Linked DNA regions of Lonchura striata. The protein of the gene in region 1 interacts with the protein of each later gene in a pairwise test. Links are inferred from orthologs where the notes say so. Each region holds a gene or a part of one and is shown in the gene's direction. Other genes may lie near its edges.

Region 1 (6,939 bases):
CCGGGGGGTCCCCGCCGCTCTCGCCGCTCCCGCGATCGCCGCGGACGCGGCGGCGGCGGCGGCACAAAGGGGCGGGGGGCGGCGGCGGCGGAGCGGCCCCGGCGGCCCGGCCCGGGCGGCGGCGGGGGCGGCCACGGGGGGCGGCTACGGGGGGCTCGGTGCCGCGGGGGTCCCGGGCGGGGGCTCGGGGCTCCGGCCGGGCCGGCGGGGCTGCTGCGTCATGAACATAATTTATGCGCAGGCCGCGCCGCAGGGCCCGGGCCGCCCGCCGCCGCTGGGGGCGCTGCGGGCGCCGCGCCGGGACCGGGACCCGGGACCGGGACCCGGGAGAGAGACCGGGACCCGGGAGAGAGAGACCGGGACCCGGGACCGGGACCCGGGAGAGGGACCGGGACCCGGGAGAGAGACCGGGACACGGGAGAGAGACCGGGACCCGGGAGAGAGAGACCGGGACCCGGGACCGGGACCGAGACCGGGACCCGGGAGAGAGACCGGGACCCGGGACCCGGGACCCCGGGACCGAGACCGGGACCCGGGAGAGAGACCGGGACCCGGGAGAGAGACCGGGACCCAGGACCCCGGGACCGAGACCGGGACCCGGGAGAGAGACCGGGACCCGGGAGAGAGACCGGGACCCGGGACCCGGGAGAGAGACCGGGATCCCCGGGAGAGAGACCGGGACCCGGGACCCGGGAGAGAGACCGGGACCCGGGACCCGGGGGAGGCACCGGGACCCGGGACCCGGGACCGAGACCGGGACCCGGGACCGAGACCGGGACCCGGGAGAGAGAGACCGGGACCCGGGACCCCGGGAGAGGCACCGGGACCCGGGAGAGAGACCGGGACCCGGGACCCGGGACCGAGACCAGGATCCCCGGGAGACAGAGACCGGGACCCGGGACCCGGGAGAGAGACCGGGACCCGGGAGAGAGAGACCGGGATCCCTGGGAGACAGAGACCGGGACCCGGGACCCGGGACCTCGGGGGAGGCACCGGGACCCGGGAGAGAGACACCGGGACCCCGGGAGAGAGACACCGGGACCCCGGGAGAGAGACACCGGGACCCCTGAGACCCCCGGGACAGAGAGCCGGTCACCCCCGTGAGAGGAACCCCGGAGAGGAACCCCGGGACAGAGTCCCGGGATAGAGGTGCCGGGACCCCTTGGACAGAGACCCCTGAGACCCCCGGGACACCCCGGGACACCCCGGGACACCCCGGGACACCCCCGGAGTCTAAGGGACACCCCCAGAACCAGAAACCCCCCGAAACCAGAGAGCCCCGAGCTGCAGAGGCCTCCTTAGCCCTGGAACCCCAAAACCAGAGACCCTCCCCGGCACCAGAACCAGCTCCAGCCCCAAGATCCCCCACCAGAGGTTCCCAGCCCAGAAACCCCCAAACCCCAGACCTGAAGTGCCGGAACCCCCCAAAACCCCGGATCCCCAATCCAGGACCCCCCAAACCCCGGATCCCCAATCCAGGACCCCAAAACCCCGGATCCCAAATCCAGGACCCCCCAAAACCCCGGATCCCCAACCCAGGACCCCAAAACCCCGGATCCCAAACCCAGGACCCCCCAAATCCAGGACCCCCAACCCCCGAACCCCCCAACCCCCGGAGTGCCGGGCCCCCCCCCGAGGAGCGGGACAAACGGGACAAGGCTGGGGGGAATATTAATGACCCCACAGCCAGAGCGAGCCCTCCTCATTAATAATCATTAATATTCATTAATATTCTAATTACCCCAGGTGCACCTGTTATTGGCGGCCGCGGCCCAGTTCTGCCGGCTTCATTTGCATACGCGCTGCCGTGATTATGAATATTTAATACGAATCGTTAAATACCTACAGCTAGTTAAATCCCCGGTCATTTGCATACATTTGCATATAGCTAATAGTTTGCATGCGGGGAAGGAAAACAGCTCGGGTGGGGGGGCGGATTTTAATTAACAAAGACTCAGCTGAGGGGGGGGAGCTTGGGGGCGGGGGGGGTGGAGGGAGGGGCGCCCCTAAACGGGTCCGGGGGTTCTTAAACGGGTTTAGGGGTCCCTAAATGGGTCTAGGGGTTCTTAAATGGGTTTGGGGGTCCCTAAACGGGTCTGGGGGTCCCTAAATGGGTCCGGGGGTTCTTAAACGTGTCCGGGGTCCCTAAACGGGTCTGGGGGGGTCCTTAAATGGGTCTGTGGGTCCCTAAATGGGTCTGGGGTCCCTAACTGGGTCTGGGGGTCCCTAAATGGGTCTGGGGTCCCTAACTGGGTCTGGGGGTCCCTAACTGTGTCTGTGGGTCCCTAAGTGGGGTCTGGGGGTCCCTAAGCGGGGTCTAGGTGTTTCTAATTGGGTTTGGGGGTCCCTAACTGGGTTTGGGGGTCCCTGAGCGGGGTTCCCAAAGAGGGTCCGAGGGTCCCGGGGGTCTGCAGAGCAGAGCCGAGCAGAGCCGGGGGGGTCCCGGGGGGGTCCCGGGGGTCTCGGGGGTTCCAGGGCGGATCCCGGGGGGGGGTCCCGGGGGTTCCCTGGGGTTCCGAGGGGGTCCCAGGGCGGATCCCGGGGGTTCCCGGGGGTCTCGGGGGTCCTTGGGGGGTCCCGGGGGGTCCCGGGGGTCCTGGGGGGGTTCCCGGGGGTCTCGGGGGTCCTTGGGGGGTCCCGGGGGTCCCGGGGCCGTGGCCGCAGCCCCCGGGGCCGCTCGGGGCTCCCCAGGCCGGGTCCCCTTGAAGGAAAATCAGATTTTTTTTTTTTTTTTTTCCCATTTCTGCGCGTTCTGAAAGCGAGGAACGTTCCCCCTCATGAATTATTCATGAGCGCACCCCCGCGCAGCCGGGAGGCTCATTTGCATATGTATGAGCAGTGCTGCATTATTCATGAGCGCCGGCTCGGGCGGGAGCGGGACAATCCGGACGGGAATTCTCCGTCGCAGGGCGATTTCCCGGCGCCGGCGGCTCCGGAACCGCGCCGAGACTTCTGGATGATTTACACGCAGCGCTACGTACGTGATACACATGGTACGTGTTTGATGTCCTCTTATTTTATCTGTATTTGTTGATTTTTTAATGTACCACTGCGCTCTATATTGTGAATTTATACAAAAATGTATGGCCATATAGTCATATTATACTGTATATTTATATATGAATGCATAATTATATTGTTTTTGTACTAATACAGTATATTAATTAATAGAATGTTTTATTTACTAATCCTTATTAATACTTATTCCTACGTATTATACACTACACTATTGTATCAGTATTTTTAATATTATTGACTATATTTATATATTATTCTAGTATGTATGATGTATCTCTAAAGGTTTTATTGGTATTTTATAAAGATGTAATAAATATCAATTTTTACTGCACTATATATTAAACTGTAATGTTATGTTGTTTAGATTAAATATGTAATTCAAATTATATAATATATATAATATAAATAATAAATATAATATATATAATATACATAATATATGTAATATGTATATAATATATAATATATGATTATGATTTTGATATATGATATATGATATATGATATATGATATATGATATATGATATATGATATATGATATATGATATATTATATATTATATATTTTAGATTAATATAATATATACAATGTATATTATATCAATATATCAATATAATATATATTAAATGTATACTGTATAAACATATTTATATATATATTTATGTATATGTTTATTTAGTATATATAAAATATATTTATTTTTATATATATTTAGGGCCCCCAGACCCTGTTTAGTGACCCCAGAGCCTCTTTAGGACCCCCGCCCCCATCCCGCCCCTCCCTCCCCCCCATTTTCCCGCGGCCCCTTTAAGAGCGCGTGGCCCCGCCCCCGGCGCGATGACGTCACGACGCTCGCTTCCCGTCCCGCTTCCTGCCCCGTCCCTCACCCTCCCCCACGGGCCGCCCCCGCCTCCTGCCGCTCCCGCTGCCGCCCCCGCCGTGACCGCGGGCGCCGCCGCCGCCATGAACGGCAAAGGCAAGGCCGGGGCGGGGCCGCGGGCCGGGACCGGAGCCCCGCCCCGCCGGCAGCGCCGCCCCGCCCGCGCGGCGCCTTTAAGGGCGCGGGGGGCGGGGCCCGGGCGGGGCGGGGCGGGCCCGGGGTTGCCATGGAGACGCGTGCTGAGCCTCGCTTTCACCCGGGAGGCGGGGCTGGGGCTGGGGGAGATACCAAGGGGGGGCACGGGGGGGATGGGGGGGCACGGGGGGGTTGGGGGGGGAGATACCATGGGGGGGCACGGGGGGGTTGGGGGGGTGATACCATGGGGGGGCACGGGGGGGTTGGGGGGGTGATACCATGGGGGGGCACGGGGGGGTTGGGGGTGATACCAAGGGGGGGCACGGGGGGGTTGGGGGAGATACCATGGGAGGGGCACGGGGGGGTTGGGGAGGATACCATGGGGGGGCACGGGGGGGTTGGGGGGGTGATACCATGGGGGGGCACGGGGGGGTTGGGGGAGATACCATGGGGGGGCACGGGGGGGTTGGGGGGGGTGATACCATGGGGGGGGCACGGGGGAGTTGGGGAGGATACCATGGGGGGGCACGGGGGGGTTGGGGGAGATACCATGGGAGGGGCACGGGGGGGTTGGGGAGGATACCATGGGGGGGCACGGGGGGGTTGGGGGAGATACCATGGGAGGGGCACGGGGGGGTTGGGGGGGGTGATACCATGGGGGGGCACGGGGGGGTTGGGGGAGATACCATGGGAGGGCACGGGGGAGTGTGGGAGGGGTGATACCATGGGGGGGCACGGGGGGGTTGGGGGGGGTGATACCATGGGGGGGGCACGGGGGGGTTGGGGAGGATACCATGGGGGGGGCACGGGGGGGTTGGGGGGGTGATACCATGGGGGGGCACGGGGGTGTTGGGGAGGATACCATGGGGGGGCACGGGGGGGTTTGGGGAGATACCATGGGGGGGCACGGGGGGGTGTGACTTTGGGGGGATACCATGGGAGGGGCACGGGGGGGGGTGTGAGGTTTTGGGGGGCTATCGTGGGAGGGGGCACGGGGGAGTTGAGGATTTGGGGATATTTGGGAGGGGGGTCTGGAGCCCTGGGGGGAGCGAGGCCATGCCGTGACGGGAGGAGGGGCTGCCATCGCTGGGGGACACTGAGGCCGGGCTGATCTGCCGGGGGGCGCGGGGCGATGCCCGAGCCCCCGCCCTGGCTCCCGGCTCTCCTGACCCGGTTCTCTCCCCAGGGCCCTTCCCAGGCCAGCCCTTGTTCCCCGGGCCGGCCCCCCCCGGGTACCCCCAGGCCCTGCCCCTGCCGCAGCCGCCCCCCTACCTGGACCCCGCTCCTGCGTACCCCGAGGTAGGTGGGGCACACCTGGGGCATTTACCTGGGAGCCGTCCGTGGCCCAGGGGAGCCCGGAGCTCCCCTTGGACAGGGACCCAGTGACCCAAAGCGCCCCTTTAAAGGCCGGGGTGAATTCCGGGTGCCTCCCGCTCCCGCAGGCAGGTGAGGTCCCCGCGGGTGCTGGATGCGCACCTGGCTGGGGGATGGCACCTGCCTGACCCGGCCGACCCGGTGCTCTTCCAGCTCTACCGCCTCAGCTTCGTGCCCCTGGGCGCCGCTGGCGTCCCCCCCGTGTCCCCAGCGTACCCAGGGGTGTCCCTGTACCTGCCCCTGGCGCCGCCGCCGCCCGTGGGGGCTCTGGGCTCCCCCGTGGCCTATTTCCCCCTGGGACAGCTGTACCCACCGGGCTCCACCCTGCTGCTGGACGGCGGCTTCGACACCGCCGCCAGGCTGGGCACGGGCGGCACTGCCAGCATCCCGGTGAGTGCCGGGGATCTGTGTGTGCGGGATGGGTGGGGAGGTTTGGGACGGGTGGCACTGCGGATTTGGGATGGGGGAGGAGGTCTGGGATGGGTGGCACTGCGGATTTGGGATGGGTGAGGTTTGGGACGGGTGGCACTGTGGATTTGGGATGGGTGGGGAGGTTTGGGACGGGTGGCACTGTGGATTTGGGATGGGTGGGGAGGTTTGGGATGGGTGGCACTGCGGATTTGGGATGGGTGGGGAGGTTTGGGAAGGGTGGCACTGCAGATTTGGGATGGGTGAGGTTTGGGACGGGTGGCACTGCCAGCATCCAGCACAGGTGGAGCCACAGAACGGGGGGATTTGGGTGGGGGGACCAGGAGATCACCTGGCCCTGGCCCAGGTGAGTCCCAGCCCCATCCCACCTGGCCTAGGGCACTGCCAGGTGGGCTTTGGGGTCACCGCTGGTTCAGGGTCACGGCCGGGCTGGGCGTGGCTGCCGCTGCCCAAACCTGGCCTGGGGGCAGCGGGACAAGGGGGGCCTTGGCCACCTGACCTCACCTGTCCCCACACCTGGGCCTGGCACTGCTGCGAGCTCCTGCTCACCTGGGGCTGCTCACCTGTGCCTGCTCACCTGTCCCATCTCACCTGTGCCTGCTCACCTGTCCCCTTCTCACCTGTGCCTGCTCACCTGTCCCATCTCACCTGTGCCTGCTCACCTGTGCCTGCTCACCTGGCCCTGCTCACCTGGCCCTGCTCACCTGTCTCCTGCTCACCTGTCCCCTCACCTGGCCCTGCTTCCCCAGCCCCCCTTGGCTGCCCTTCCCTGCAGCCTGAGAGGTTCCTGCTGCCCTGGAATTCTCTTTGGTAGCTTGGGGACAGCGTGTGCCCCAGGTGACAGCACAGGGGACAGCACAGGTGACAGGTGTCCCTCAGGTGACAGCACAGGGACAGGTGTCCCCCAGGTGACAGCACAGGTGACAGCACAGGTGACAGGTGTCCCTCAGGTGACAGCACAGGGACAGGTGTCCCCCAGGTGACAGCACAGGTGACAGGTGTCCCTCAGGTGGCAGCACAGGGACAGGTGTCCCCCAGGTGACAGCACAGGTGACAGCACAGGTGACAGGTGTCCCTCAGGTGGCAGCACAGGGACAGGTGTC
Region 2 (6,996 bases), on another chromosome or scaffold:
GGAACTAAAGATTAATATCTTATATCTCACTGTTCCAGCCCATCAACAAGAAACTGGCATTTTCTTAATGAAAGCTGCCATTACATTCCAGAATTTTAAACTTGATTTAAAAAAAAACACCTTTTTTTTTCTGAGTTGGATAGCAAAATGATGCCTCCACTGTGTGCTGTTCCTCCTGACTGGCTGATGTAAAAGGGAGGTACAACAAAGATATTGTTATTGTTCCTTTGAATTTACTGTTCATGGCATGAACAGCCCTCCGGGTGTGATAAAGTTCCCTTGGCTCCGATGCCTGTCACAACTCAAGATCTGTGCTATTGTCCCTGAAAAGTACTGAATCGGACAATTTAAGTATTGTCTGTTGGTCTTTTACCCCAAAACAAAGGCTGAGGCAGGCAATTATGCCCAATTTTGTCACTGAAAGACAAGAGAGATGCTGAAACCGGAGGGAGTTCAGCAGGGGCCACTGGCACAGCTGGGGGCCAGAGCATGAAGAAAGGCTGTGGAAATTGTATTTTTGAGGGTAGGAAGGAGCTCACGGCAGCCTCCAGCCATCCAGGCGGGTGGTACTGAGTGGGCAGAGGTACATGGCAGGAGGACAAGCCACAATTCCAGCAAGGGAAAGTCTGAGGGATGCAGGGAATAATGGCAACACTCACAGGGGCTGTTTTTAGGGATGCAACATCCAGAGAGGTTGAGCAATCTCCGACTTTGGAGACACTCAGGACTCAGGCAGACAAGGTTCACAGCTATTCCTGTTTTGAGACAGAGGTTAGACCAGAGCTTCCTTCCAACCCAAATATTTACATGAAGCTGAGCTAAAAACAGAGAGGCCAACACTTGTAGCACACAGGCAGGGTGCAGGCCCTGCAATGCAGGCTTGTACTGAGGAACTGCCCTCACATCATTACACCAAACAGCCTTTCTGAATAATTTAAATTCACCATTTCACCCCAGCTTTTCTTTCATTACATATTTTAGTGTGCAAAGTGCAAACATCTTCCAATAGGATGTAGGCAGGGCTCGGTGTTAGCCTTTCCCAAGACCTATTCCTGGCACTAAGATGAATCAATTGAATGTAAATTCCACACTGGCACAGGCTGCCCATAGAAGCTGTGGTTGTCTCATTCCTGGCAGTGTTCCAGGCCAGGCTGAACAGGGCTTGGAGCAACCTGGTCTAGTGGAAGGAGTCCCTTCCCATGGCATGGGCTTGGAACAAGATGAGTTTTAAGGTCCCTCCCAACCCAAACCATTTTGGGATTCATTTTACAGTCTTCAGCAGATACACACATGCAGCTGAAAAGCTGCATTTGCCCAAGGTGGGGGAGAAAAAGTTCAAAAATTCATCATCCTTTTCTACTTCTACACATTGTGTGATCCTATTGTGCAGCTCGGTGAGGTTGGTGAGATTATTGATTAAAAGTGCTTTTGCAGTCCCAGACTGATATTTAAAGTGAGACATCACCACTGTTGTCAGCTGCATGTTTGCTCATTAATTAGGGTTTCTAACTACCAGATTGCTCAGGAAAAAACGTCAAGCTCTGGGGACTCCTGCTGTCACCACTGGCAGCCCAGGACACGGCAGCAGCTGCCCACAGCGCTGCCCTTTCAAGCGTGGAAAAGCAAAGGTGCCCTGAACACAGCTGGGAGGAGGATTGCTTTCATTCCTATTTGCTCATTTCTTCCAAGGAGGCCACACCGAAAGGGCTGCTCCTACGGGAACTCCCAGAGATCGCTGGACTAGGAAAGGCAATTGTGAAAGAGCTGTGAAGTCAGCCCAAAATTCCCCTGGCTTTTGTTTCAATTCAGAGGACACGCTGTCACATCCTTATGGAATGGGGTCTATAGCAAATGCCCACTTAGTTTTGGTGGTAATTATTTATGAAAATTAGTCAGTAAAAACGTTGCAGTTTCATGCCTTTTACAGCTACCACAGAATTTCAGAATGGTTTGGGTTGGAAGGGACCTTAAAGACCATCTTGTTCCAACCCCTGACATGAACAGGGACACCTGCCACCATCCCAGGTTGCTCCAAGCCCTGTCCAGCCTGGCCTTGGACACTTCCAGGGATCCAGGGGCAGCCACAGCTTCTCTGGGCACCCTGTGCCAGGTCCTCACCACCCTCACAGACAAGAATTCCTTCCCAATCTCCCACCCATCCCTGCCCTCTGGCAGTGGGAGCCATTCCCTGTGTCCTGTCCCTCCATCCCTTGTCCCCAGTCAATCTCCAGCTCTCCTGGAGCCCCTTCAGGCCCTGCAAGGAGCTCTGAGCTCTCCCTGGAGCTTCTCCTCTCCAGGTGAGCACTCCCAGCTCTCCCAGCCTGCCTCCAGCCATTGGAGCATCTCCATGATTTCCTCTGGATTTGCTCCAGCAGCTCCACCTCCTCCTGATTTTGGGGGCCCCAGAGCTGGACACAAAACTCCAGTGGGGTCTGAGGAAACTGGAGCAGAGGGGCAAATTCCCCCCCTCTCCCTGCTGCTCACTATCCTGGGAAGATTTCTGGGCTGCCAGCGCCCCGCTCCTGCTCCTGCCGCTGAATTTTCCCTGTTACTTCAGAAAGGGTCGAATAATGACCTTGAAAAGCACAAACAGATGCTCACTCCCAAGGGAAGGGTGCCAGCGGCCGGGTCGGCATGTGCTGGGCATCGCCCGTGCCCGCGTTTCTGCTGAGTTTAACGGAATTCTCCGGGCTTGGAAAGGCTCGGGATTAGTGCCATAGCTGGGAAGGGCAGGGCAGGGAACCACACCGTGTGCTTGCGCCCCGCCACAGGGGCTGCGGACACGGGGGCACACAGGGAGAGGGCAAAGGGAAAAGGCAGATTTCAGGCGCAGCTTTAGGGTTGAAAGGTGAAAATTGGATGATTTGGGATACCTTAAAAGTGAAAATTCCGTGATATTTTGCGTAAGATGAGGTGAAATCCCAGCCAGTGGTCATGGCCACAACGCTGACAGATGTCTCGGGAGCGTGGTGGAAATTTTGGAGCTGTCGGGATCGCCTTCAGTCGTTCCTGTTGGGCGAGAAGAAAATCAGAATTGGATTTTCAGCAATCATATAGATCCATCAGAAACTGCTGTTTGTATGATTATTAATGACACTGTTTATATGATTGTTAATTACACTGTTAAGAGTTGCGCAGCTTCTGCTGAAGTGTTTGTCCTGGCAGCTGTAGATGTAAACAAATCAATGCTTTTGGAGCTTTTTCTGGGACCACCAATGGCGATTTACCTTGCACATAGAAATAACATTTTAATTTCTGTCTAGTTAAAGTGATAATTTTTTTTACACTGAAAATATTTTTATTTTTTTCCCCGTTGAAGGGACAGATAGTAAGAACTTTGCTTTGTCTCTGCTACAGGTCTTGAACTGCACGGCGCAGATTTTGATTGACGGACGAGGGGGGGCGACAAATCAAGGCACAAGTTTATATTTTTTTTTATTAAAGTGGTGAAAATGGTTGTGTCCCTCGTTGAAGGGACAGAAAGGGCGTACTTTGCTCTGCAGGTTTATCCTGCAGGTCTTGAACTGCACGGCGCAGATTTTGATTCACCAGCGAAGGGGGGGGCGACAAATTAAGATACAAGTTTACATATTTTTTAAATTAAAGTGGTGAAAACGGTGGTGAAATGCTGTTTTAGAGCAGCTCCCGTCCTCCAAACCAGGTCCCCTCAGAAGCCGCGCCCGCCCCTCAGCGGAGGCGTCACGTGACCGCGGGGGGGCAAGGGCGGGCCGCGCTCGCTGTCACGTGACCCCGCTCAGCCCGCGCGGTTATTAAATCAGCGAGGGGCGTGGCCTCACCATTGATGGGCGTGGCCTATTATGCAGATTTTGTGGGCGGTGACCCTGTGGGGGCGTGGCCACGGGTGGGTGGGCGTGGCCGCGCCGCCGGTGGGCGGTGCCGGTGACGCGGCGGCCGCGGAGGGGGCGTGGCCGAGCGCGCGCCCCTCCGGTGCGGCGGCGGCGGCGGCGGCGCGAGGGGGTGGGGGCGGCGTGGGGCGCGGCCGCCGTGACGCAGTTCCGCTTCCGGTGCGCCGTCGCTGTGGCGGTGCAGCTGCGGCCGCCGCGTCGCTCCGGGCCTGCTCCGGCTCTCCCCGCACAGGTACCGGCACCCGGCCCCGCCGCCGGCACGGGCCCCGCTCCGCCGCGGGGAGCGCGGGAGGAAGGAGGGGGGCCGCGGCCGCGGGGCCTCAGACATCCCGGAGGTGCCGCCCCGCCTGCGGGGGGGCGGGCGGTGCTGGTTCCTCCTGCCGAGCACCGGGGGTCGCTGGTGGCGGGGCCTGGCGGCTCCGTGGCGGCGCTGTCTTGGCTGGGTTAAATATTTGTTGTTTTTTTCTTTAATTTTTTTTTTTATTATTCTTTTTGCGCTGTGCGGCCGTAATTTATTAATGAGCGCATCAATGAGCGTGGATTGCATATAAGTGACTTCGACTTAAAGCCTCCCTAAAGAAGGGTTGGGGAAAGGCGCTTTTTCGGAGTTGGTGAGAAGTTGGTTTATCACATTTTAACGTGTTTTTAAGGCAGCTGATGCACAGGGGAGGGCCAGCACCTGACAGGTTCTGTTCCTGATGGAAAACTTGTTTCCAGGTGAATTTCCGTGGAGAACGGTGGCGATCTGGTACTCAGCCTTATTGCCAGTGGTGTCAGAACAAAAGTGGCTGCTTTGTGTTTTTGAAACCAAAATGACACACCCTGAAACTGCCCTTCCCGGGAGCTGTGGGGATCAGGGGCTGAAAGAAAAATTCGTGGTGAATATCCCAGGCCAGCCCTGGGAAGCATTTGGGATATTCTCGAAGCTTAAGTTCATCCAAGTGCGTTTGAACAGTGCCAGTTGAAGAAAGGTGCCAGGTGTAAAGCCTGAAAAGTGGGTTTTTTTTTTTTTTTTTCTGGGAAAGAGCCTCTGCCGAGGAGCAGGAAGGTGTCTGGGTTTGTGTGTCAGGATGGAGTGGGACTCGTGGGTTTGGTGTTTTTTTAGGGGGTGACACCACAAACCTGCAGTGAAGCTGTTTGACAGTCACTCCTCAAGAGTCAGGGTTTTCATTTCACCCAAAACAATTACAATAATTGAGCTGATAATGCTTGAGACGAGAACAGAGGCTGCCCCTGAATCCCTGGAAGTGTTCCAGGCCAGGTTGGACAGGGCCTGGAGCAGCCTGGGATGGTGGAAGGTCTCCCTGCCATGGCACAGGTGGGATGGGATGAGCTTTCAGTCCCTTCCACCCCAAACCCCCCTAGGATTCTGTGATGTGAGGCTCTGTAGCTCTCAATATAATTTAGAGGCAACTCTGAAAGATCAGTTTTAATCATTGCAGGCTGCTGGACCAACAGATCTTTTCCAGGATTCCCAGGGCTGGGTGCTGTGGACAGGAGGGATCAGTGGCCGGGGATTCTCTTTGCTGTGCCCTGACTTGGTGTCACAGCTGGCACACAAACTGGGCACCTCCCTGTGCTCCCTGTCTGCCCAGCTGGGCATCTGCTGGGTTTGGGGACCAGCTGTGGAACTGAACGGCCTGGTGAGGGTGAAGAGCTGGCACAGATCACAGATCCTTATGGCTTTGTGTTTTACAGGTCCTGGAAACTGCCAGGTCCTCTATTTTGAAGAATTATTTTCTTTTTGGTAGTTGACAGTTTATAGCAAATGCCACCATTTGGTTGTCAGTCTTGAAGGCATCTGTCCTGAAAATCTGGAAACTGACTTTTGTCATTTTTTCATTTTTAACAAACAGGGAAAGGGGCAGAAATATCCAAACTTCTCCTAGCCACTGATGATTAGCTGTTGGTTTAGTTTGTCAATTAACTTTATTTTCCCCATGGATTAACACCCAGGGCACACCAAATTATTTTATGGTATGTGAGCACTGGGGAGGCTTTAAGGATGGGGAAAGGGCCAGAGGAGGCCACCAAGATAATTGAGGAAAGGCTGGGAGAGCTGGGATGGTTCATCCTGGAGAAGAGAAGGCTTTGGGGTGATCTAATTGTGGCCTTCCAGGACCTGAATAAAGTCTGCAAGAAAGATGGAGAGGGGCTGTTTAAGAGCATGGAGTGACAGGGCAGGGGGGAATGGCTTCCCACTGCCAGAGGGCAGGGATGGATGGGATATTAGGAAGGAATTCTGCTCTGTGGGGGTGGGGAGGCCCCTGGATCCCAGGAGATGGGAGAAATCTGCACCTCTGCTCCAGTTTCCTCAGACCCCACTGGAGTGTTGTGTCCAGCTCTGGGGCCCCCAAAATCAGGAGGAGGTGGAGCTGCTGGAGCAAATCCAGAGGAAATCATGGAGATGCTCCAATGGCTGGAGGCAGGCTGGGAGAGCTGGGAGTGCTCACCTGGAGAGGAGAAGCTCCAGGGAGAGCTCAGAGCTCCTTGCAGGGCCTGAAGGGGCTCCAGGAGAGCTGGAGAGGGACTGGGGACAAGGGATGGAGGGACAGGACACAGGGAATGGCTCCCACTGCCAGAGGGCAGGGATGGGTGGGAGATTGGGAATTGGGAATTCTCTCCTGTGAGGGTGGTGAGGACCTGGCACAGGGTGCCCAGAGCACCTGTGGCTGTCCCTGCATCCCTGGAAGTGGATTGGCCTTGGACCAACCTGGTCTTGTGGAGGAAGGTGTCCCTGCCATGGCAGGGGGTGGAACAAGGGGAGTTTTAATGTCCCTTCCAACCCAAACGCTTCTGGGATTCTCTAAAGGCCGACTCTGAAGTGTTGATATTTAACGCCTGAAGCTGCAGGAATTTGCATATTTTAGAAAACATTTAGAAGCCGTCAAAGACTTGGTGTCTCTTCCATTTTCTCCGGGTGCTATGTTGGGTAGTTACACTTATGTGGGCAGAAATCCTGTTGTGGATGAGGTGATGCTGGTAGGAATTAGTCATGTCAGAGTGACAAAGGAACCTCTCTGCCGAGGCAGCCGTGCCACCCAGTGGAAATGCAGCACAGCCTGTTGCATATCCAGAAAAACCTTTTTCTGTGTTTGAAAGATGATCTTGGAGACAGGAACTAAATCTG
Region 3 (7,143 bases), on another chromosome or scaffold:
TAACATGATCTTAAAGAAGTTGATTAAGTGTGCTTTACAGCATGACCAGAAAGAGCTTCCGATTAGTGACATCAGTATATATATTTTACATCTCACATGACCCACACTTTTAAAACTTGGAAGTGTTGAAATAGGAGTCAAACCAAAATGAAATCAAATCATCAGAACTGAAGCATTTCCTTACCACACTTCATCAATATCATCATGTCATGCCAATAGACTGAATATCCACAACATCAAGTACCTCTCCCTGGTAATAAAACCTAGAAATATATAATTTTTCTGTCACTCACACAAAACAAAGATGGGCCTCAGAGGGGAGGAATTCAGGGATGGTTCAAAAACTCATCATGGGTTTGGTTCAGACTACAGTAATACATAAAGTAAACAAATGAAAGAAAAAAAATGTTAGGCTCTGGATTGAATAAAAGTTCACATCTATCCAAGGTTAAACAGATGTGACAGGGATCCATTTTTAATTTCAAGGCTCTAAATTACTGGGGCTCAGAGGTTGAAGAAGATAGTGTAGTTATAAAAACAATGTTTTGCAAGCACCCCAAACTCTGTTCCCTAGGAGTCTGTAATTGCTCCGTTTCCTTTGGCAATTCTGGTTAACTGCATGTTTTTATTCCTCATTCATCTCATGCCTGAGGAGGGACTAGTCTCATCCTAGCAATGTCTCAGTATAATTACAAAGCAGGGAAATTTTTGCATCCCAAACCAAATTTCAAACTTATTTGGAATCTAGTGATGTTCAAATCCAGTTACTGAATTCTGAATTCACACACGCTTTTAACTTTATTTAATATTTCTATCACAACCACAATTTTTATTTGCCAGCTTTTTATTTCCACGTCAATACCCTGGTGAAATGTATTTGACATATATTGCTTGGAGATTGTGCATATAAACACAAAAAGAGAGAGAGCAGGGATTTTTTTCAGCCTGTAGAAGAGGTGGGCCTATTGCTATCGACAACCAGCTAAGCAAAGGGTGTAGAAAAGATGGAACAGAATTTTCTCCAGAGGTCCACAGTGAAAAAACAAGACAAGAGACAAAACTGGAACATGGGAAATTGATACAAAGAAACATTTTTACAATTAGTGTTTTCAATCACTGAAAGAGGTTCTTTAGATGACATGGAATGTCTCCATCCGTGGAGACATTTGAAATGGGACTAGGTACAGCCCTGATCAACATGCTCCTTCAAGCTGCTCTGGACATCCCTTCCAACAAACATGGTTTTAATTATAAAAATATATATATATAGTATAATTAAAAAATACTTGACATTCCCAGTTTGTTTTTCTTTTAAATATGCATAAATACTGCCTAAACATTGATATTATGTGTTTAAAGTACATCCTGCACATGAAAACTGCACATAAAAACTGTACCATTTGTGGTAAAGTACTGGCTTGAACAAAACCAGTTTCCTGTTACTGAAATCAGGGATTGGAAAGCTGAAAACCAAGCCAGAAGGAGATGAGATTATTGTCACCATCCCTGTAATAAGCTTTTCTAATTAGTGTGTTAGTGTTAAAAGAATCTCAAAAGAGTAAGATTCTGTTAGAAATGCTGATATCAAACTTTTTTTTGGTTTTAAATATTTTGCAGAAATGTAAGTAAGGATAGAAAAGTAGTATTGGAGGGGTTTTTTGTTTTGTTTGGGTTGTTTGTTTTGTTTCTTTCTTTGTTTGTTTTCTTTCTGCTCAAGAGCAGGTTTCCTGAAAGATTTATATCACATGGATTAATTTCAGGACATAGTATCTGTCTAGCAAATCAGACTTATCAAGGTGGTCAATCATTAATTCTCAGCCAAGTGCAAGTATCACTGGTTCCAGTCACATTTTTCTTTATTCAGATCTATGTACAAGGACATTTATTATTGATTCTGGGATCTCTGTGCACCACTTGTCCATTTTGGTCAAGTATTTAATTTCTTGACATGGCAATAAAATTAGAAGAGGCTCTCCAGCATTTTTCTGTAAATATCTATAAATTCTAGAGGGGTAGGATTGGCATCTAAATCTAGCATGTAAAAGCATACATGAGAACACATTAAACCACACATTTATTTTAGTCAGAAATGGTTTTATATTTTATATATAACCACCATTATGTGGTTAAGAAGACAAGTTTAGAAGTTTAAAAATACTGAATTATGAGGTTAATATGGCAAGTTTAGAAATTTAAATTTTCCTGAAAATTATGGATATAGGTACAAGAAAAGGCAAGATAATTCTCAATTTATTTGTCCTATTGTTATATATACACTTTTCATGTTAATGTCAGCATTTCAGTAGGTTTTTTTACCTTTTCCATATGCATTAAGCAATAGAAATAATAACTGAATACCGAATTATGAGTAAACCATAACTGCCTTTATTGACTGAATGAACATTTATTAAGTGAACATGGAAATATCTCAAGTTTCTTAAAAAACTCAGAACTGAGAAGTATTTTTTAAAAAAATTAGGAAACAGAAGTGGGTTGTTTGTTTTTCCAGGCATTCATGTATAAAGATTTTGTTAGCTGCAAAAGAAAATATTTATTTCAAATTTCTCATCATATTCCCACAAACCTGCATTACAATGGCTTTAAATGAAAGCAAAACTACTTTGTCTTTACCAACGCTGACATTCCCCAGCTGGTGACTGTAAACCCTGAGTTCTTCCTAAGTTCCAGCCCACACGAGAACAGAGAACAGTGAGTGTCTTGTGACTATTAGACAGCTCTTTATCACATCATACAGAGCAAAGTGCAGCAAGGAGAAGAAATGGATGGCTGAGATAAGAAGGAACAGCCCTTTCTACCTCCTTACAAATATTTATTGCTGAACAAAATACTGGTCTCATTTTCCACTATAAAAGTTCATCTGGTCTTACATGACAGATTGCTCTACATACACTTCTCGTGTCTTCTAAAATGATCAGTTAGTACTATGCAGGGAATTTATTGGTTTCCAGGGAAACATGGAATGTATGGATGATATAAGAGATTATTCATTGTGGCTACAAATCAAAAGATAATCTAGTAATCTGTGACACACCTTAAGACACAAGACTGTTTTCAGAAACAAAAATGCAAGTACAATGAATTACCATAATTACTTAAATACACTTTCTATGCTCCAGCTTAGTTTCATTTCTGTTAGGATTGAACATGAAAAAACAGGTGAACTTGAAACAGAAACCTAACTCAATAATTCAAATTATTAATCATATTATTTGTAATAACACTATGTCTCTCCACATAAACTGTTTGTTTTAAATACACATGAAAACACGTAAGAAATGGTAGCAGCAAAGAATTTAAGATGATCTTGAAGACAGTTTGTAGTGGCAACGAACACTGGGTGCACTGGTCAACACCGTGACTCTGGTCAGTGCTCTACGAGCTGCTTTTTAATGAAAATGGAGAGGACCCTGTGAAATAGTTGCGAGCATAGTCAGAAAAGCCTTAATGCCCAAACCGTTTAAATCCAGATTGTTTTAAAACTATCAGATGTGGTAAAAGGTATTAATCCTGTATAAACTTGTGGCAACTAGTGGTTATGGTGGTGGAGTCACAATCTCCTAGCGGTGTTCAAGAAACAACGCGCCATTTAGCGCCACGGTCTAGCTAACAAAGTGATAATTGGTCAAAGGTTGAACGCAATGAGCTGAAAGGTACTTTCCAACCTTAACGAATTAGGTTGGAATTCTGTGCTTCCCTGGTTCTCCGAGTCAGCGTTGTGTGTGATGTAACGCCCTACCATGGCGATCCGCCAAGGTACCCAGGCAGAACCCTTTACAGCCACTCCTATCTCACCCCTCCGTTGCCCCGGGAAGACCTGCAAGGCTGGCAGATTAACGGTGATCTACAGGGTGGCGGCACGCCCGTGTCCTGACGTGGGACGGAAGAGGAGACGATTAATTCGGGTAAGTGGGTGCGACAGAGGTGATGTTGTAACCACGGACAAGGCGGGCGGGCACCGTGGGAGCGCTGTACGGAGGTGAGGGCAGCCCGGTCGGGCACACGCCGCGCACAGCACTGTGCCCGCAGCCCCGAGCCGCGCCCCCGGCCCGTGGGAAGCGGAGACCACCGGGCGGCTCCCCGGTGCCCAACCGGATCCGTGTCGGGCCCGCCCCGTGCGGGCAGGGCCGGGCTGGAAGTGACGCGGGCGGACGGGCGGAGCTGCGCGGCGCTGGTGGCCGAGGCCCCATGTTGATGTCCCCGGTGCCCTCCGCGTCTGCCTAGGTAAGAGCTGTCCGTGGCCGGCTGCGGGTCCGGGCAGGGCTGACACGCTCTTTCCCGCCGGCCTCCGGCCGCTTCTGGGCCGGGCCGTGCGGCCGGGCCGTGCGGCCGCGGCTCTGCGCCACCGGCCCCCGCTAGCTGTTCGGGCCGGCCGTGTCGGTAGGGGAGCGGCGGGGCCGGGCTGCGGGAGCCGGCGGGGCTCCCCGGCCCGCGGGGGAAGAAGGAGGCCCGGAGCCAAGGTGACCGCGTCGGGCAGGTGGCGGAGCAGCGGCGGGGAAGGGGCGGGTGGGGACCGGGGGTGTCGGGGGCCCGGGACCGCAGCTGGAGGACTCCGGGAGGAGCTGTCTGTGCTGGCGCGGCTCGTCCTGCTTTTGTTTTTCCTGCTCGACGAGCTTTTCCTCCCTTTCACCGTCCTTTCCGCTGCGCAAAGCCAAACGCGTCGTTTAGCCTTCCCGTGGGAAGCGCTTGTCACGTCGGTAATGAAGCCTGTGCGTAGCTCTTCCTCCTCCTCTCCCGTTGCCTAGCCGGTAGCTGTGAGTTAAGCAAGCAAGTACCCAGCATCCCCATAACTATCCTTGAACTGTAAGTAGATCTGACCATCACCTAAGCCCCGGGGATTTTCCTGCTAGGCAACAGTAATCCCAGATGATTGTGCTGGTCTGCACAAGTTAGATTTGTGAGCAGTTCTGCTTTAGGGTTGGAAACCAGTCTTGCCTTTACTGGTTCCTCTAGGGCTACTGCTCAGCTGCCACAGCTGAGCAGCTGACAATGTGCAGAAACAGATAATTTTTTTTCCTTCTGGTTGGGGTTGGGTGTTTTTTGTTTTTATTTTTTTTTAATTTTTTTTTTTTTTAAATTTAGTTTTTTTAATATGTGCTTAGGCTGAGCTATACAATTTTAAAGACAGATTTACTGAAAAATCAATTGGTTTTATTATTAATACTGTTTACTCTTTTTTGTACTTATTCTACCTAATGAAAATGTCAGTGTTATTTTGGTAAGTTACCGAATTACTAAAAATGAATGAATTTGTTGCAATTGAAAATAACTAAGGTTTTTCTTTTAGAGCCATAGATAGTGCTGATGCATACCATTTGTAGTTCAGACTGAAATTGAAAATGTTATTCTCTGTTTTGAGATGTGTGGGAGTTTTCAGGATTTTACTGTGCTGTAATATTTCCTATTCTGGACTATGAAGCTACATAACTGATAGGATTTATTGTGTACCCTGTTGTCTCTAGAAAACTGTATTTTGATCTTTACTCAGTTTCCTGCTTGTGGAAGTTCCTTGTTTTTCTTCTACATCTATTCATCTTCACAAGCTTTGTGTTTTATCTTGTACCCCGTGTTGGTCAGTATACAAGACTGTTTTTTTATTTAACATCTGATACATTGAAATAATGTGGCTGCCCGCCCCTATGTACCTCATGTGTTACTCTAAATTGTGCAATAATAAGCTTAAAATTTTGATGGCTTAAAACTAAAAAAAACCTTTTGTATTTACCTTTTCGTTGTTTTGGGTGATGGATACGTGTTTACTTCAGAGTGCAGTTTGTTTCAGAAAGCACAAGGTCTTTGCTACTTATTTTTTAACTGGTGAAATTTTAAAAGGCTATAGGAGGTATGCAAACACCTTTTCATATTTGAACTACTTGAGGCTTGCAGTAGCCTGTCTCCTTTTGGTTTTGGTTTCTATATGTATCTTCAATGAAAGTAGCATATTATGTCACACGCTTGGCAGTAACCTCTTTCAAGCTGTGAATGTGCTTGGTTGGTATAAAATTACTTTCAACAGCAATTGCAAGAACAGGGTAGCTCATCTTTCCAGAAATGTCAGCTACATAAGGCCCTAATCCTCCTAATATCAAATGTTTTGACAAACTGTTGATTATATAATGGAGTCAGACATTTGAAACTTTTCAGTTGCATATTATTCTATTTTTGGTAGATATTGCCGAATCTGAGGAAGGGATGTTCTTCTTCTGCTTGTGAAGCATCTTGTGTTACTGTAGTTGTAGCACTATGTATCCTGAATGAGGTGGTAAATGGAAAGAACAAAAGCTTTTGCAGTCCAACTGATTAGTGTTACTCCCTTCAACTTCGCGCATACCTCAATGTTCCTGCTATCAATGCAGGCCATTGTTTATGGTAATGAAGCTAAACACGAAGTATGTGTTACAGTGAGAATAGTAAAAGATGTCCATAGACTGCTAAACGGGGGCAGGCGAGAGAAAAGCCAGCCCAAACAAACCCTCCTATTTACATAAACTTTCTTATTTTTTAAAAAAAAGTCTTGAAATGGAACTCTGATGCTTTTACTGAGAGGGGAGGAAAAACTTAATGTGTAAAAATGCTGTGAAAAGCACTGAGCAGTACAGATTTGAGAAAAGTTTGAAGTGGTGAAACTACAGAATCTCCTTCTATAGCACGTCTAGACCATTAAGAATCTTTCATTAAATTAGAACCCTGCTTTGTTTTCACACCACTGCTTTTATTTTCCCCTTTCTGACACTGAGATATACTAGGGACATTCAACTAAGCAATGCTTTCTCTTCATCTTGATGTCACTGCTGAAATGACTGCTCTTTTTATTCTGCGAGGTGGTTGTTTTGGAGAGATGCTGAGGCAGTGAATTTAGTCTATGGCTCTCTGTTTTCAGAGCAGGGCAACTAATTATTAGGCTTTTCTGTCGTACATATTTCTACTAGATTAATTTTTGTAACTTCACTTGTTTTTCCACTATGTTCAGGTAACAACTTCTACAATTTTGTTACAGATAACCATGTCATCCTTTCAAGAAGTTCCGTCTTCAGCTAGCACTTTGCAGACCTCCAATTTTGCACACGTGATTTTTCAAAATGTCGCGAAAAGTTACCTTCCAAACACACATCTTGAGTGTCACTA

What was found. The genes of interacting proteins can lie anywhere in the genome.
Region 2: the proteins of DAZAP2 (region 1) and MAPK1IP1L interact in binary tests that used the Homo sapiens proteins (3 or more experiments, as listed by UniProt). The link is inferred for Lonchura striata from reciprocal best matches to the Homo sapiens genes DAZAP2 and MAPK1IP1L.
Region 3: the proteins of DAZAP2 (region 1) and TAX1BP1 interact in binary tests that used the Homo sapiens proteins (3 or more experiments, as listed by UniProt). The two-hybrid records come from large-scale screens. The link is inferred for Lonchura striata from reciprocal best matches to the Homo sapiens genes DAZAP2 and TAX1BP1.

What each region holds. Positions count from the first base shown.
Region 1 is NC_134629.1:5,077,558-5,084,496, reverse strand, and holds the start of DAZAP2 (DAZ-associated protein 2), read left to right. Parts: upstream 1-3,924; 5' UTR 3,925-3,981; coding exon 3,982-3,994; intron 3,995-5,219; coding exon 5,220-5,332; intron 5,333-5,560; coding exon 5,561-5,797; intron 5,798-6,939. UniProt on the Homo sapiens protein: In unstressed cells, promotes SIAH1-mediated polyubiquitination and degradation of the serine/threonine-protein kinase HIPK2, probably by acting as a loading factor that potentiates complex formation between HIPK2 and ubiquitin ligase SIAH1.
Region 2 is NC_134608.1:3,537,857-3,544,852, forward strand, and holds the start of MAPK1IP1L (MAPK-interacting and spindle-stabilizing protein-like), read left to right. Parts: upstream 1-3,983; 5' UTR 3,984-4,098; intron 4,099-6,996.
Region 3 is NC_134603.1:123,123,132-123,130,274, reverse strand, and holds the start of TAX1BP1 (tax1-binding protein 1), read left to right. Parts: upstream 1-4,130; 5' UTR 4,131-4,242; intron 4,243-7,015; 5' UTR 7,016-7,021; coding exon 7,022-7,143.